Linked DNA regions of Rattus norvegicus. The protein of the gene in region 2 interacts with the protein of the main gene of each other region in a pairwise test. Links are inferred from orthologs where the notes say so. Each region holds a gene or a part of one and is shown on either strand. Other genes may lie near its edges.

Evidence for each region. The genes of interacting proteins can lie anywhere in the genome.
Region 1: the proteins of Ctnna3 (region 2) and Pkp3 interact in a two-hybrid assay, tested with the Homo sapiens proteins (2 studies listed by IntAct). The link is inferred for Rattus norvegicus from reciprocal best matches to the Homo sapiens genes CTNNA3 and PKP3.
Region 3: the proteins of Ctnna3 (region 2) and Jup interact in binary tests that used the Homo sapiens proteins (3 or more experiments, as listed by UniProt). The link is inferred for Rattus norvegicus from reciprocal best matches to the Homo sapiens genes CTNNA3 and JUP.

Annotation. Positions count from the first base shown.
Region 1 is NC_086019.1:205,617,717-205,622,909, reverse strand, and holds the start of Pkp3 (plakophilin-3), read right to left. Parts: upstream 3,949-5,193; 5' UTR 3,853-3,948; coding exon 3,621-3,852; intron 1,407-3,620; coding exon 1,327-1,406; intron 1,201-1,326; coding exon 569-1,200; intron 474-568; coding exon 350-473; intron 1-349. UniProt on the Homo sapiens protein: A component of desmosome cell-cell junctions which are required for positive regulation of cellular adhesion. Required for the localization of DSG2, DSP and PKP2 to mature desmosome junctions.
Region 2 is NC_086038.1:25,134,317-25,140,591, forward strand, and holds the start of Ctnna3 (catenin alpha-3), read right to left. Parts: upstream 3,683-6,275; 5' UTR 3,581-3,682; intron 1-3,580. UniProt on the Homo sapiens protein: May be involved in formation of stretch-resistant cell-cell adhesion complexes.
Region 3 is NC_086028.1:85,823,482-85,828,726, forward strand, and holds the start of Jup (junction plakoglobin), read right to left. Parts: upstream 3,949-5,245; 5' UTR 3,563-3,948; exon of another isoform or gene 3,490-3,562; intron 859-3,489; exon of another isoform or gene 778-858; intron 1-777. UniProt on the Homo sapiens protein: Common junctional plaque protein. The membrane-associated plaques are architectural elements in an important strategic position to influence the arrangement and function of both the cytoskeleton and the cells within the tissue.

The DNA.
Region 1 (5,193 bases), on a different chromosome or scaffold from region 2:
TGCAGACATGTTCACAAGCATGGAACTAAGTGCATACGTATGTAGGTAATGTGTATATATGCATATATATGTATATATAGTATGTATGTATGCATATATATAGTATGTATATATGTATGTGTATATATATGTATGTATATATGTATACACACACACACACATTGGTGATGCGAGTGTATACAAATAGGGCATTTCTGCCCTTTCTTTGCTGATGATATGAAAAGGTGAGGTTTGCCCAGCCAGCCTAGTGATTAGCAAGCAGGGCTAAGGAGCTGGTGAGGATAGTCGTCGGGGGCATTGGGGCCAGTGGGACAGTCATCAAGAGACAGCAGGATTTGGGATTTGTCACCTGCTTCTTGGCTGCTGCATCACTGTAGCATCTGTGCTGGATGTAAGCCGCCCCCAGCACCTGCAGGTTGGGGTCTGAGGCCATGAGGTACTTGACTGCTGAAGGCAGGTCAATGTCATCAAAGCTGTAGAATCAGGGGTTAGTCAGTGGCCAGGCAGACTAAGTTTGGGCCAGACTGTATGATACAGTCCCCTCCCTGCTCCAAGCCCAGCTCCTCACCCACTGCTGAGCCTCTGCAGGGTTCGGTGGCCTGTGTAGCTGTCCAACCCACGTACGTCCGGCAGGTGGCCTGAGTCACCCAGGCTAAGACTGAGGCTACGTACAGATGGGGCTCGGGCCACTGGCTCCAGGCCAGCTCCTGACACTGACCCGGTACCCCCACGGCTTCGGTGGCTGCTCTGAAATCGTTGCAGGGTCCGCATGGCAGGCGCACGGATGGTCCTGCTGGGTGGTCCCTCAGTGGCCTCTGGCCAGTCCAGGCCTCCCGCTCGGCTAGAGCTGGAGCTGGCCTGGCGTTCGTAAGCATAGGCTCTGTAGGTAGAGGCGGCTGCAGGCTCTAGTTGCTCAGACACCACGCTGTAACGGTCGTCCAGGCCCCCCGGCCCCAGCCTCAGTGAGCGCAGGGACAATGTGTCATAGTCAGCTCTGCTGGCTGCCCCACCTCGCTCATGGAAGGACACTGGCCGGGTGGGCATAGGTGGAGTGGGCTGGGCACCCCCATATCCCACAGCCCCAAAGGCACTGCCCCCATTATGGGCAGAACTCAGCCTCCGACTGCAGGTCAGATCCACGGCTGAGCGGGAGGACCAGGAGGCTGGGTTGTAGGCCGGCTTGGCGATGGGCCGGAAGGTCTGTGGGAGGGTATGGCACAGTGAAGGGGTATCTGGGGTTTACTTGGCACCCTCCCCTTCTGATCTGGAGCTCCCAGCCTCCCCTGTAGAGCCTCCCCCTCAGTGCAGGCTGCAGAGCTCACTCACCGAGGTCTTGTCTCCACTCATACCCTGGGATCGGGAGCTGAAGCCACTCTGCATAGTGTGGTATTGACCCCTGGGCAGTCCTGTGGACAGAGACAGTGACAGCCATGACACCGTGACCGATAGGAAAGTGTTGGCTTTTTTTCTTCTTTCTGCCAGAGGTCTCTGATCACAGTCCTGGGTGTGACATCAGACGCAGGGCAGGGAGACCAAGTCAGTTTTGGAGTTAATCCCTTTTCCATGGTTCTGCCATGGCTGCAGCTTGACTTCATCCAGTCTGTTCTGAGAGGTCCTCTTTCCCTAGAGCTCCAGACTGCCTTCTCTGCTCAGAGGCGTTCAGACAACTCGCCCTGCTCACCTCTGGACTGCCTGGAGAATATGCTAGGGTCTCCATCAGCTGCCCAGTCCCTGCCAGAGCAGAGCCAGCCCAACCTGCCTCAACGCACCGAGACCTCCACTGAGCGCCTCTTGTGCCCAGACTGAGTCTGTGCTACACTCACAAGGGAGTGACACTGTACAGGTCAAGGATCCAGTCTCTCTGGATCAGTCTGCTCAGATCGGCAGTGGTAGAGCCACCTGGTAGAGCCCGAGGCAGGCACCACACCTACCCCATCCAGCTGCACATTAGCTGAGGACTGGGTGACAGCCCAGCTCTATGGTCAGTGGACAGAAAGGTGGGCGGTTGGGGAGGGAGGGCTGGTCAGAAGTTTGGAATGATATGTAGATGAATGGATTGGTGGGAGAGAAGGTGAAAGAGGATTACATGGGTGAAAAGAAAACAGGCATCTGGGGCCTGGAGAGATGGCTGGCTGCCCTTCCAGAGGTCCTGAGTTTAATTCCCAGCAACCACATGGTGGCTCACAACCATCTGTGATGGGATTGGATGCCCTCTTCTGGTGTGTCTGAGGACAGCTACAGTGTACTCACATACATAAATAAATATTTAAACAACAACAACAACAGGAAATGGGCGACTGAATGAACAGAGAGAATGGTACAGAGTAGAGAGGCAGAGGCGAGGCCACACAGGAAACATCATCCCAAGGGTTGATGGTGACAGTGGGCAGGCCTTGGGTGGACTCAGCCTTTGCCAGGGCTCCTCTGGTTTTGGGAAGAGCTCCTTGAGCAGAGTAGCTACTACAGAGGTCAGTATGAGTAAGGGGCCTTCCTTTGTACCTTCCAATTCCGCTCAGGGGGTGGACAGTATGATGCTCCCCAGACCCACCCAGGTTAATGAGGCTTCTGGGCAGGGGCTGTTAACCCTTTGACGCTAGTGAGGGCCAGCCTAGGGGGCACACCCCAGCCTGGGGACCTTACGCCCACCCCCAAATTACTATCCTCCTCCCCCTAATTAGCGGGGTAGCCAGGTGGTAATTAACCCCTCCCTGTGCCCTCCCCCACCCCATGACCCCTGGGCATCAACTTGGCTCCAATAAGATTTTGGGCAGCAATTTAGTTCCTGACCTGCCCCTTCTGCCAGACAACATCACGGGACCACTGTGAGCTGAGGTTTGGACCTCCGAACAGAGGTTCATTGTACTGTCTAAACTTAATTCCTGTTGTCGTAGCCTTGCAGGTATGGAAATGTTTCTGGAGTGACTGCCTTGAGCCTAGCATGTCTGAGTGACCCTCCAACACCCACCCACCCACGCGAGCGTGCGCGCGCACGCACGCACACACACACACACACACACACACACACACACACACACACACACACACACACACACTCTGCCCCTGAGGAGTACCCTGTGGGCTATTCTCATGAAATGTATCTGGGTCACTCCTGGTAGGCCCAGTTCTGCAATTCCTCAGGGAGCCCCTGCTCCAGACAGACCTGGGCTCTATCCAGGACCATCCCTCTCTCGCATGCTACTGTTATACTCACTCCCATTTGGTTAGGAGGCACTCTGGCCTCTCTGAGACCTCAAGTATGCCTGTGTTCTGTGGTTCTGGGAGGGAATGTGTTGGGGGGGGGTGTTGTGACAGGTGGGCCTGGCTGCTTACCTTGTGCCTCCCAAGTCTTTCCAACTTAGGGAGTGGATAGGCCCTGCCCCAGGACCCCTGTCCTGGCTGGGGAAGGAGGGATGCCCCACCCAGGCGGCTCCCTATGCCTGCTGGGGCGGGGCAGTGACTCAGAGCAGGCCTCTGTAAGGTGAGTCAAAGCCTGAACCCCCCGAGCTTGTAGGCTTCTGCCCCTAGCACCATCACTCCTGCCCTAGCCACCTCCACCGGCCACTGTCACCATTACCAATTTCATCTCCCTCTGTTGCCTACCATGCCCAAAGTTGGCCTACCTCTGGTGCTCTCCGCGGAGCCATCAAGCTCAGTAGACCCATTGTGCCGCGACTGCTGGCCCAGCTGCAGGAGGCGGGCTCGGACTTGCTCCTGGACTCTGGCAGCTCGAAGCCGATCAGCCTCCGGCCCTTCAGCACCCCGGCGATCCAGCTGCAGGTCCGAGGGCAGCGCCAGGGAGCAAACACCAGCCTCAGGCTGCAGGGCAGACAGCAGGAAGTTACCTTCCTGCATAGTGACAGGGGCGACTAGCCAGCCCACCTGTCCTGGGCCTCTCCCCGGTCTTGTCCCTCGAGGCCTGGTTCCAGTCTCTTCCTGGCTGGCTCTCTTAGACAGACGCCTGCCCGCCCAGCCCAGAGCTTGGCTGGGGGCGGGGACACCTGGGCCAGGTGGGAGGGAGGGGCCTCTGCCTGCTTAAGGTGGAATTTGGGCGGAAGAACTGGCCCTGCGTGTCCTCGAGTCGCCTGGCCTTCCCTTTTCTCCTATCCCAGGACAGGGCCACAGGGACGTGGGTTCTACTTGCTCTCAGTCTTCCAAGCCCAGACCAAGCCCCGTGGGGGCCAGCGTTCTTAGTATGAGAGTAGGGCAGGAAGCCTGTGGGGGCCTGTCACTACAAGCCATACGAGAAGGAGTGTCCCAGCCTGGGGGTTGGGAGCTCTAGAGCATCAAAGATCAAGCAGCCTCCAAGACAGCTGGACCCGGGCTTGGTGAGGTCCCAGCAAGGTTGGCACCCAGAGACAGTTTTCGGTTTATAGAGTCCAGGTAAAGGATAGAGAACTTAAGGGCTGGAGTTTTAGGGTTCAAAGCAGCTCCATGATGGCCCTAAACCTGGGCCTGACAACTCCATAAAAGAACCCAGTGAGGTAGACATATGTCCACCCCCTGATCTGTAAACCCTGAAACTCACCCCAGCCTCTACCTGTACAGAGGCTTCCGAAGGGCTGCTTGGCCCTCTCTGGCACCTCTCCTCAGCTTCTGCCCCCCAGGCCTGGGGTGGGAGGCCCGTTCCCAACATATGAGTCAGGGCAGGCAGGCGGGGCCGCCCCAAGGGGTTGACTCAGAGGGGCCTAGGCTCATGTCAGCACCTGCCATGCTGGGGGGCCAGGAGGTTTTGGGGGAGAGCTAGGTTAGAGAAAGTTGGAAGGCTGGAAGTGAGGGGCACCAAAACTTGTTCCTACAAGGTCTCCCAATGTGAGTTAGGCCTGCCATCCAGGTAGGTTGGGAAGGTTAAGAGGCAAAACTAGGAAAGTTGGCTTATGGGGTCAAGTTGTCTCACATGCCTGGGCACTTCCCTTAAGCATTCCTGGGTCTCTATCCTTAGGCTGCAGCTCTTTCTAGAACCTAGTCTCTGGGCTCAGCCTGAGCTCTCTGTCTCACACCAGGCCCTTTAAGAGTCCTGGTCTCTTAAAGACATTAACAGAGGGTGAGTAGGCGCAGAATCCTGGAAACGGAGAGTGCTTGGAGAAAGACAGCATTAGGGATAAGATCAGGGCGAGTAGGAAGGTCTGGAGGATGGGAGTCAGAGGTCAGAGGTTGTCGGGGAGAGAAGCATGGAGAGGGAAGCCCCCCACACCC
Region 2 (6,275 bases):
AGATCTGGAATTACAGGTGGCCTGACATGAGTGTAGGAAACAGAACCCCAATCCTGCACAAAAGTAGTATACATTCTTGATGGTTGACCCATCTCCTCCAGCCCACAAGTTAATAATATGTATATGTGTGTGTTATATATTTATGTATACTATATATGTAAATGTGTATATATATTTATATATAATATTTTTTCAATGAATTTCAATTAAACATAAAAGTCTGGCTTGAGACATTGAAAAGGGCCTCTGAGGCACGAATGAAGTCCTAAGTTTGATTCCAAGCATTGGAAAGAGAAAGGAGAGGAGGGAAAGGAAACATTGGGTTGGTCTGATAGGGTTCTTTGAAGAACTCATTCAGAAGTCATTCGGCTGTGTCAGCACATCAGCTCCACTCGGACGGACCACTCAAGTACTTCAGCACCCAAGCCCAACTTGAATTCTCTTTTTCAGACAGAGTCTCATTGATTAGCCCTGTGTGGCCTCAACTTCCTGCTTCAGACTGGAACCTGTTAGGCATACAGGTATGTATAGTCACGCCTGGCTCCAGCTGCATTTTAACCTGCACGTAGGTGCACTGTGTGCGTCCAGTGGCCACAGAGGCCAGAAGACAACGCTGGATCTCTATAACTGGGGTTACAATGGTTGTGAGTCAGCCCGTGGGTTCTAGGAATCAAACACAGATCCTTTGAAAGAAGAGCAAGTGCTCTTAACCACTGACTTATTTATAATGTTTACTTCCCAGGATCCAAACCTATGAGTCCAGTTTACCAGTCGTCCCACATACCTGATGAATCCATTCAATGCTACTTGTAACTCAGTACCGTGGTATCGATTTGATGTGTACTTTTCTTTCCAGTAATTCAAAGTTGGCCTATATATGTGTTTATTGTCAAAACTATAGAAACAATTTCTGAGCACGTTATACTATTTGTTTAATTCTTCTTGAAGTTATTTTTAATAACAGAGTAAGAAAAAGAAGACTCTGACCATTGACCCAGTTCGTCACATTCATGTCTGAATAAACTCATGAGGAGCCTTTAGCAAAATTTTAACTGCTGCTGTCTCATCTTTTTCCAGTACTATGCTGTGTCGGCAGCAGAAGTCTCTATGATCATTTCTTTTTCATTTACATACGTCAGGGTTAGCATAGTAGGAGGAACACCCTGAGCCCAGAATCCTCAAGACAGCAGAGGTTTTGTGGCTATTCGAAGATCAAAAAACACCAGCAAGTTTATCTTTAAATTCCTCCCTCTTACCCAAAACCTTTGTTCCCAGGGACACTTATCCAGTTAGTTTGGACCTAAATGGATTTGAAATTCAAATTAAATGTACATTGAAATAGTGACGGGTTTGGTGGTTTTAGCCCCAGGTAAAGCCCCAGAGGTTGTTCTGGAACACACAGATGGGAGGGAGGTGTCAATTCCCTAATTGGTTCTTGGCTGGGTCAATAAAGACCAGAACTAGTCTCTATTACTGCAGTTTAAGACTGAAATGGCAGGGTTGGGGATTTAGCTCAGTGGTAAAGTGCTTGCCTAGCAAATGCAAGGCCCTGGGTTCAGTCCCCAGCTCCAGAAAAAAAAAAAAAAGACTGAAATGGCAGGGTTGGGGATTTAGCTCAGTGGTAAAGTGCTTGCCTAGCAAATGCAAGGCCCTGGGTTCAGTCCCCAGCTCCAGAAAAAAAAAAAAAAAAGACTGAAATGGCAGGGTTGGGGATTTAGCTCAGTGGTAAAGTGCTTGCCTAGCAAATGCAAGGCCCTGGGTTCAGTCCCCAGCTCCAGAAAAAAAAAAAAAAAAAAAGACTGAAATGGCAGCCGGATGGTGGTGGCGCACACCCTTGATCCCAGCACTCAGGAGGCAAAGGCACCCGATCTCTGTGAGTTAGGGAGCAGCCTGGTTTACAGAATGAGTTCCTGGAAGAGCCAGGCAGCACAGAAAAACCCTGTCTATAGGAAACAAAAGAAAAGAAAGAAAGAAAAAGAACGAAATGACTGTTAATCTCAGCACTCAAGGAGACAGGGCAGGCGCGTCTTTAATCTCAACACTTGGGAGACGAGGCAGGTGCATCTCTGATTTCAAGGCCAGGTCTAGAGAGTGAGACCCTGTCTCAAACACAAAAAAAACAGAGAGTAAAAGAGGAGAAAAGCAACTAGCCACATTACAACAACGCATGAGACAAAACACAAGGAGTGTGTATCCACAGACATGTGTGTACAATCCCTATGTAAATGCGTCTTGTTTTCAACCGTGATTTGGTCAGAGCTGCTCTGCTATGTAGATGCTTAACTCTATTTAGACAACTCAGTATTTCCCCAAACACCAAGTCTCTCTAGTCTGTTTCTGAATTAAGAAACAGGCCTTTTTTTCCTGCTCCTAGAAAACATGAGGCCACATAAATCAGCTGGTGATTCAAAAGGGCAGGTCTGCCCCACTTTTATTTCCACTGAAACATAAATGATGTTTAATGACCACTTCATCTTTACAATCCAACAGCATTTTCTCACTCAAGACTGCCCCCAGGGCAAGGAGGTTTGCCCAAAATCCCTCTCTAAGACTTCTGTATGTAATAAACACACACACACACACACACACACACACACACACACACACACATGATAAATACAAAGCTATACTTTCTCTTCTGTCGAGCCACGGTTGGGAACGGCCTCTTTTTCCCTGTTCAGTCTCGTTCTTGACTGTTTTCTATTCTCACACTTTTTTCCTTTCTTTTTCACGCCACATTTAATTTAGCTTACCCTGAATTTTGTGTAGCCTTGTAAGCACCTTAAGTCCTCTCTACAACAGGTGAGGAATAGATAAACTATCTTTCTATACATCCACAAAGACAGTCATTTTCCCTTGCACTAGATAAAGCCTTAAAATTTTAACTCCACGTCAACACACAAATTATCCAAGTCCACGAATTCCTTCTGGCTTTGTTGGTTCTCTCTTCACAAATACTTAAGGCTGCATACAAGTGGCACAAGTGACACACACGATTTAAGTTCAGAGGCTGATAATAGAAACCAAATTGTTTGCACAAATAAACTGCTCACTGCGCAAGTTTTATATTAAAAGAATGTGAAGTCCCTGGTGCCTCGTGTACAGTTACTCAAATAATAAAGGTCCTGTTACCCTGGAGTTTTTAAATGCTCTGTGTAAGACTACTGAGGCTTGGGCACCGGCTCACAAGAACTGTTTTCACGCTGTCTTTAATGTCACTATCAAACACTCCAAATAGCAGAACTGAGCTTCTGCTCAACTAAGTCAGCCTGGGCTGTTACACAAGGAAAAAAAACTGTTTGAACATTGCATTTGTATCTAAGTCTGAAATGCCTGCAGATCCATTCTGAATGGTAGATTTTTAAAATCTGAGCTTTCACAAAGTCTCAACCTCAGGATAACTAAAAGGAGACTTCCTTATAAAAGTCCTAAGTGCACAACCTAGTTCCTAGTCATCCCATTTTAGAGAAATCATGTCTCTTCGTTCCCCCAAAGTCATCTAACCAGGCAAATAATCTGCCCATAATGGGGTTTGCCTTATGGCAAAAGTCTAATTTTAAAAAGTTGACACTTGACTCACCTGTGGCGGGACACAGTTTGGCCCACAGAGACACTGAGCCACTGCCTAAGCAGCTCCTTGTGTTTATTAAGCCGGTGCCACGGTTGTGGCTCACAATTTGGCTTATGACGACTCTGTGAGCAAACCGCCTGACAAGCACCCTAGTGTATTTCAGGATGACTGACAGGGCACAGTGGCTCAAGCGAGAAGGGGGATGGGTGCTCTTAAAGCAACAAGCCAGCAAAGACAAAAATCAAACATCAGACTTTAGTCTTCAAAGGTGCAGTGTGAAGTCATCCGTGATCAGCCTGAACACAACTTTCAGGCACACTGTACACCCAAGTCACCCAAAAGCCAAAATGGAGCATATACAAGTAGAGATAAAGAATTCACAGCAGGCAAGCTTTGTAGTTCCTGAAACTATGAAGCCTATGAATTACTAAGAATATTCCAATCCCTCTTTACGGAAATTAAATCAAGGAACCAAGAGAAAGAGATCTTACAACAGCAATGTAAAAATAGCTGATAGTTAACTTAAGCCACGTGCGGTGGCACGGGCCTTTAATCCCAGCACTGGGGAGGCTGAGGCGGGAGAACCTCGGTGAGTTGAAGGCCACCTTGGTCTACATAGTGAGTTTCAGGACAGCCAAGGCAATAAATTGAGACCTGTACTAAATTAAATAAAGTAATTTGATAGAGCTAGAGAAGTGGCTCACTGGTTAAGAGCACTGGCTCCTCTTCCACAAGCCCTACGTTCAGTGCCCAGCATTCGAACAGCAGCTCACAACCATCTGTAACTCTAGTCTCAGGAGATCAAATGTCCTCTTGTGGCTTCCATGGGCTCTAGAGCGCACATGGTGCTCAGACATACATGTGGAAAAAAAACACCATATGCATAAAACAAATAATTTTCAAATGTTAATTAAATATCAATCAAGTAATTTAAGTAATAGAAATTGTTACTAGAGATAGAAGCAAGGCATTCATGCATTTCTTCCTACTGTATGCTTTCCCTACCATCGACTTTCCTGGTTACAAAGTAGAACAGAACACTTGGAAATTCTAATTATGGTTATTTTTATACCAGCTTCTCTTGGGAATATATTTAATTAATGCGTTAGCTTAATTCTTCACATTTACAAATTTTTATATTATTTTTCAATACTTTCTACTTTTCAATTCTTTGATTCACTTAGTTTTTTTTTTAAAGTCACTCATTCTTTTAAATGCAATCCCTCCCTTTGCCAGTTGAGGGTGTCATTAGATTCTAAATATCCTCACTAGTACACTGAATGATATTTATTCTCATACTTCAGTAGGAACTGCAACAGAACATCTCCATTTTCCTTAGGAAAACTTACTAGGAAATATCCCAGTTTGTCTGGCCTGTATGAATTTGATTTGTAGTCTGCTTAACGTACATTTTCTAACTCCCATGCTCAATTATTAGTAATTAGCCCATATCTAGGAGAAGCTACAGGTTAATTATAGGGCAGACAGTTACTGGTATGATAGTATAATTATGTGTCTCTTGAGCACACAATGTTGTAACTAACAAATTTCTCATGCAACCTCCAGAGTCCTCGTTTTACAACTAAACACTCTGTTTGGAGGGATGAACATCCTTTTGCCTGATTCACTCTGAAAGTACAAACTTGGCACATGCCTTTAATCCCAAGCACTTGGAAGGCAGAGAAAGGTGGATTTCTGTAAGTTCGACGACAGCCTAGTCTGCAGATCGAGTCCTAGGCAGCCAGAGCCACAGAGAAACCCTTTCTCGAAACAAAACAATAACAACAACAACAACAACAACACTCTCCATGCATAACGTGCTTGCTTAGCAAGTATAAGGAACACCATTTGGATCCCAAGTAAATGTCTGAGCATGGAGGCCCGCCTGTGGCTCCACTGCTGGGAAGGTGCATGTTGGGGGTCCCTGGGCAGGCTGGCTAGCTAGGCTAGACATAAAGGTGAACTCTGGGTTCAATTGGGAGGTCCTGCCCCAGTGAATTGGATAGACAGCCATTGAGAAAGATACCTGATGTCAACCTCAGGTTTCCATGCAGACACACCTCCGCACCAATGTGTAAACACACCCACACACATACACACACACACACACTCACACACACACTCACTCACTCACACACACACTCACACACTCACACACACACACTCACTCACACACTCACACACACTCACACTCACACACACAGACAAACACACTCACTCATTCACACACACACTCACTCACACACACTCACTCACACACACACTCACACACACTCACACTCACACACTCACACATATGCACACATATGCACACACTCACACTCACACACTCACACACACAGACACACACACTCACTCACTCACTCACACACTCACTCACACACACACTCACACACTCACACTCACACACACTCACACTCACACACTCACACATATGCACACATATGCACACACTCACACTCACACACTCACACACACAGACACACACACACACACATACACAGTTCTCAAATCTGAAGACGGGAGGTTTTTTACTTGTACAGCAACAACAGCTAGGCAACCAAATGTAAATGCTATTGATTCTCTTTCAGAGTTTTATGGCCCTAATTTTCTAAACTGACACATTCTCAGTAGTATAAAACAGATGCTCAAAATTGGTTTTCAAATTACTCATCCAAAAGAAAACCGAAAAGTCAATGCCGCC
Region 3 (5,245 bases), on a different chromosome or scaffold from region 2:
ATCTGACTCATGTGTCTCCCCTGCCTCAGCCCCCGCCCATGCCCACTTAAACTTGGCAAAGCCCCAGACACTAGTTAGTGAAGCAGGTAGCTCCCACCTCCTATCCGGGGTCCAGCCTAGAAAGCTCTGAACCATGCTGTCCTTCCCTCTGGTCTCCCCTAACTTAGACCCTCTCAGCTCTTGGTCTGGAGGAGCTGCCTTACCACCTACCACAGCGACCAAGGCGAGCGGGCAGCCGGTGAGGCTTCAGAGTACTGGCAGCCAGGGGATGAGTCACTCCCACCTGACAAACCTGTCCCGCCTTCACCACCCCCACACGTCTAGCAGGGCTCTCCTAAATTCCCTTCTATCCTTGGAGCTGAGGCCCTCCAAAAGGGGCAGTAAAAAAACTTCCATTTAGGGATAAGAGGTAGCTTCCTTGGTAGAGCGGTCGCCTAGCTTATAGGAAGCCCTGGGTCCGACCCCCCAGCACGGTATAAGCCAGCTACAGTGCCGCATGCCTGTGATTCCAGCACTTGAGAGGTAGAGGCAGGAGGATGGCAAGTTCAAAGTCTGAAGAGTTGACAGATGGCTGATTGGGCTAAAGGGTGGAAGGAAAAAAAAAACTCCTGAAGGTTGTTCTCTGATCTCCACAGAGGTCTTGTGCATGCTCAGACACACAGGCACACACAACATACATACATACATACATACATACATACATACATACATACATACATAAAGATGATGATGATGATGAATGTTTTATAAAGTTTGCCTGGGCATGGTGGCACGCACCTGTTATCCCGGGGAGCAGTTTGAAACCCTCCCCTCTCCAGTCTATACAGCAAGTTCTAGGCCAGTCAGGGCTGCACTTTGAGACCCTGTCATCAAAAAGAAAGGAAGTAGTTCAAGGTCAACCTCAGAGGCTAGCCTAGGCTACAAGAGACTGTCAAGAAAGGACGGGGGGGGGGGGGGGCGGGTTGGGGATTTAGCTCAGTGGTAGAGCACTTGCCTAGCAAGCGCAAGGCCCTGGGTTCGGTCCCCAGCTCCGAAAAAAAAAAAATTAAAGGACAGTGGGGGGATACAACTTCCATCCAGGGCCGATGATGGATCCCATGGGAAAGTGCTTGCCTACGTGCAAATCCACAAGGCCCTGGATTTGGTCCTTAGCAGCCAAAAGAAAAAGGGGAAAGAAAAAAGAAATCCTTCCAGAGTTGTAGTAGAGCCTAACAGCAGAATGAGGTCTGAGCTTAGCCCTCTCTTGAGTCTAGCAACACTGGGCAAGTTGCTATCCTTCCCTGAGTTTCTGAAGAAGACATTAAAGTGCGCCTGCCTCGGGCTGGAGAGATGGCTCAGTGGTTAAGAGCATTGCCTGCTCTTCCAGAGGTCCTGAGTTCAATTCCCAGCAACCACATGGTGGCTCACAACCATCTGTAATGAGATCTGATACCCTCTTCTGGTATGTCTGAAGACAGCTACAGTGTGTTCATATACATAAAATAAATAAATAAATCTTTAAAAAAAAAAAAAAGTGCGCCTGCCTCTGTGAGCATGGTTAGTGGCGCTTGGTACCAGACAGTCTTCTGGCTTTGAGTTACCATCAGTCAAGTACTTTCTGGGTAGCTAGGTTTATTAATTCCTGAGGTCGCTGAGCCAGGAAGGTGCTTTGACGCAGGCTGCACAGGTAAGGAGACACTGCTCAGGGATTCAAACTATCTCAGTCCAAGTCCCTGTTCTCAGAGCTGACCCCTTAGACTGTCTCCCTAGATCACTGTCCTTCTGTGGACCAGCCAAATGTGTCACCTTGTCCTAAAGCAGCTCTGCAGGACGACAGGCCTCCCTCTCATAGGCAATGACCTGTGGGCCCCCAGGAAGGAAAACAGTCAAGCAGGCCCCGCCTGACCTTCCGTTCCCACAGGCTGCATTCTCCAAGCTCAACCTTAGCAGGCCAGACGGCGGCTCCAGAGGGAATGGGGTGGAGCTCGGGTGCGGGGGAGGCTTCTGTCACCCAAGCCCAGACTTGATCTGGTGAGAAATGACTAATCGGATCCTACCTTTGCTTCCCCTCCCTCCTGTCCGTCAGAAGCCAGCTTGGGCCGGGCAGCTCATAGCCCTACTTCTTCCTCAGTACTGTCTTTTCACCAGAGCCACGAACCAGATTTGCTAAACTATTCATTTAGTTCACCTAATGACAATGCCTACCCCTCCTCCTCCTTGACACGGAGAGGACATGAGCCTAAAACTAATGCCCCCAGTTCTTCCTAGAGGTGGTCACACATATTTTACCAACCACAGGACCTAAGGCGAGATTACGGGGGATATGTCTCCCACCCCCACTCTTCTATTCACAACCAAGCACCACCTCAGCTTCCAGGAGAATCAGAGCAAACAGTGCTCACGACCCCCACCCCATCTTCCCTCTGCCCCCCCCCCCCGCTAGCGTTGTCATTCCTGCTCTGTCCCCCCAAGAAGACTGGACTCCAAATGCCTATGAAAAGGCCAATCTTCAGATTTGTACAGAAGAGTGCAGCAAGCCGAGTAGAAGTTGACAATTCCAGCTGGAGAGGAGCTCTCAGCACAGGGAACCAAGGGGAGGGCTCACACTGTTCACCCTGAGGGTGCCTGGCATGGCAGAAGCCTTCCATAGCAAAGACTTCCTCCTGTCCCACTTTCCCCGCCAAACACTCAGTTAAAGAGTGGGTGGAGGAGGGACTTCTGGCAAGTCCTCTAGAAAGGACGCACCTTCATAATTCAAACCCAGTGAACAGCAAGCAACATTCCTGCCCTATGCTACCCTGCCTCAATGGTCAGCCAGCTAAATAAGCTGGGGGATGGAACGGGGGAGTTGGGGAAAGATTAATCACTCTTCCCAATCTTCCTAGTTTGGCCCAGCCCTGCCCCAACCCCATTCCTGGGGAAGGGGCAGAGCTTGGGAGGAGAGGCACTTAGCAGGCCTCATATAAGGGGGTGTGGTGGTCCCGTGAGGATGCGAAAAGGGAAGGAAGAAGACACTTCCCTTTTCAGCAACGCCCCCACCCACCCCCATTGGTCCCTACCTCGGGCCTTAGGGGCCTAGCAAACAGGATGGAGGTGGGGGCAGGGAGAACCGGGTCAAAGCGCACAGGCTGTGTTCAGCTTGGAGCTGACCAGGGAAGAGGCTTTCCTCTAAGAAGTACCACCAAGCCTTGAATCAGCTCTCAACAAGGAGACGGGGAAAATCCTAGAAAAGGCCCCCACGGTTACTTTCTCCTGGAAAGTTTGTTTGGAGTGATTTCTCAACAATAATGGGTTGCAGAAATCAAAAGATATCGCTGTTTCCCTACCAACACTCTGGAAACCACAAGCTACTAAAATCTGGGCGAGTGTTTCTTAATTTTCTCTACCGGCCCAGACTCCAGGCCATGCCACCAGGTCAGACAGACATCGGTAGGGCACTGAGCCCAGACCCTTCACCAGTTCCCCCGTCACCCCATCCACCTCCGTAAGAGAAGCCATAGACCGGCGTACACTAGAGCGGAGGGAGGCGCCACAGGTCCAGCTCGGAGCTACAGGGCAGGGCCTCGGTCCTCCAAGCGCTCACCTGCTCTGCTCAGCAGGTGGGAATCGCGTCTCTGGGAAAATGTGCACTCGGCCCCCACAGTTGGGTAAGCTGGGCGCAGACAATAGGGCCCCACCCAGGCCTGGGGGAGTAGGGAGGGAGGGAAAGCGAGGATGACGCGTGGGGTGGGGTGAGGGTGGCCCCAAAGAGACTAGGCAGCAAGTTTCCCGAGCGGTAAATTCCTGTCACCGTGGGATCTGGGACCAGGCGGAGCGGGTCAAAGTCTGCCCGGTCAGCTCCAGGGGAGAGTCAGCGACGCCGCGTCGGGCAAGCTCCGCGGGCCCTGGGGGAGGCGCGAACTCCGAGGCACCTGCCCTAGTTCCTCCCCGCCCTTCTCAGACCTGCGGTTCACCGAGCCTGGAGGGGCGCTCCAACCCAGATCGCTTGTCCCAGGGGTCCCGTGCCCCGGACCCCAGTGCGCCCCCTGTCGCTGGTGTAGGATGCACTCCCTGGCACCCGCCCTCACCTGCCCTGAAACCGCTGGAACCAACCTCTCGGCCGCTTGCCCTACTCTACCCTCAGTGATACGTACCCCTATCCGGTGTACCTGAGCGTGGAGCCGGGCCGAGCCGGGTCGGGGTCGGGTCTGGCCGGGAGACAGCCGGCGCAGGCAGCGAACTGAGCTCGGGGCGCTCGGGCGGCGGCTGCTCCGGACTCTGGCCAAGGCAGCAACTCAGTAACCGAACAAAAGGCAAAGGGACCTGACAGCCAAGCCACACCTCTCGCCCCCTTGAAGCTCCGCCCCCTAGGGAGACTCCCACCCTCTGAGGTTATCTCACTGGCTGCCCAGCCTGACTATCCTATTGAGGGGCGGAGCCTCACGCCGGGACCTCTACCACGGCCGCCTCTGTTTATGCGCTCACCATTGGCCCCAGGGACTGCCAGTCGACTCTGGGGTGGACGCCAACTTGAGGTCTCATCCTCACTCTGCATCTATTGGCAAATAGAAAGTTTCTTCCTTATGATTGGACAGAGGGCTGTCAGTAAGACTAAGGCAAAAGCCAATGGAACAGGTGGGGCGTTACTTGCCCCACCCTAGCCCTGAGCAGGTAAGACTCATTATTCTCCCCTTCCCCCTACCTGTCCAACAGGTGAGTCAGGGGGAAGCATGGGAAAGGACTGACGCCTTCACTAGCCAGCCAACTCAGCGTCAGGATTATTCATTCTTGCCTCAACATAGTAATAAGATGTTTGTAAAGCATTTCATAGGCTTTGTGCTAGGTTGGGATTTCTCCCCCTACAAAAGATGGAGTGTTCCCGGTTCTCTTCTGTTTAGAATTAGAAGGCCTGGTTTGGGTTCTCCCCTTAATCTTTGTATGACCTTAGGCCAGCTAGTATACTTTTCACCCTGTATCTAAGTGGGTTCATTAGCTTTATCTATCTTGGGTTGGAGAGATTAAATAAACTTTGTAGCTTAAACAGCTGAGGAATGTCAGTATTTAAGCCAGTGAGATGGTCCGTTCGAGACAGTTCTTAAAAAGTGCTGGAGCAGGCAGCCAGGCAGTGGTGACACGGGCCTTTAACCTTAACCTCGGCACTCAAGGAGGCAGAGGCAGGCAGCTCTCTGAGTTAGAGGCCACCCTGGTCTACAAAGAGGGTTCAAAATGATCCGCATTAAGAGAATCTTTAATGGGCTTGTGTGATGTCTCAGTTGGGCAAGTGTGA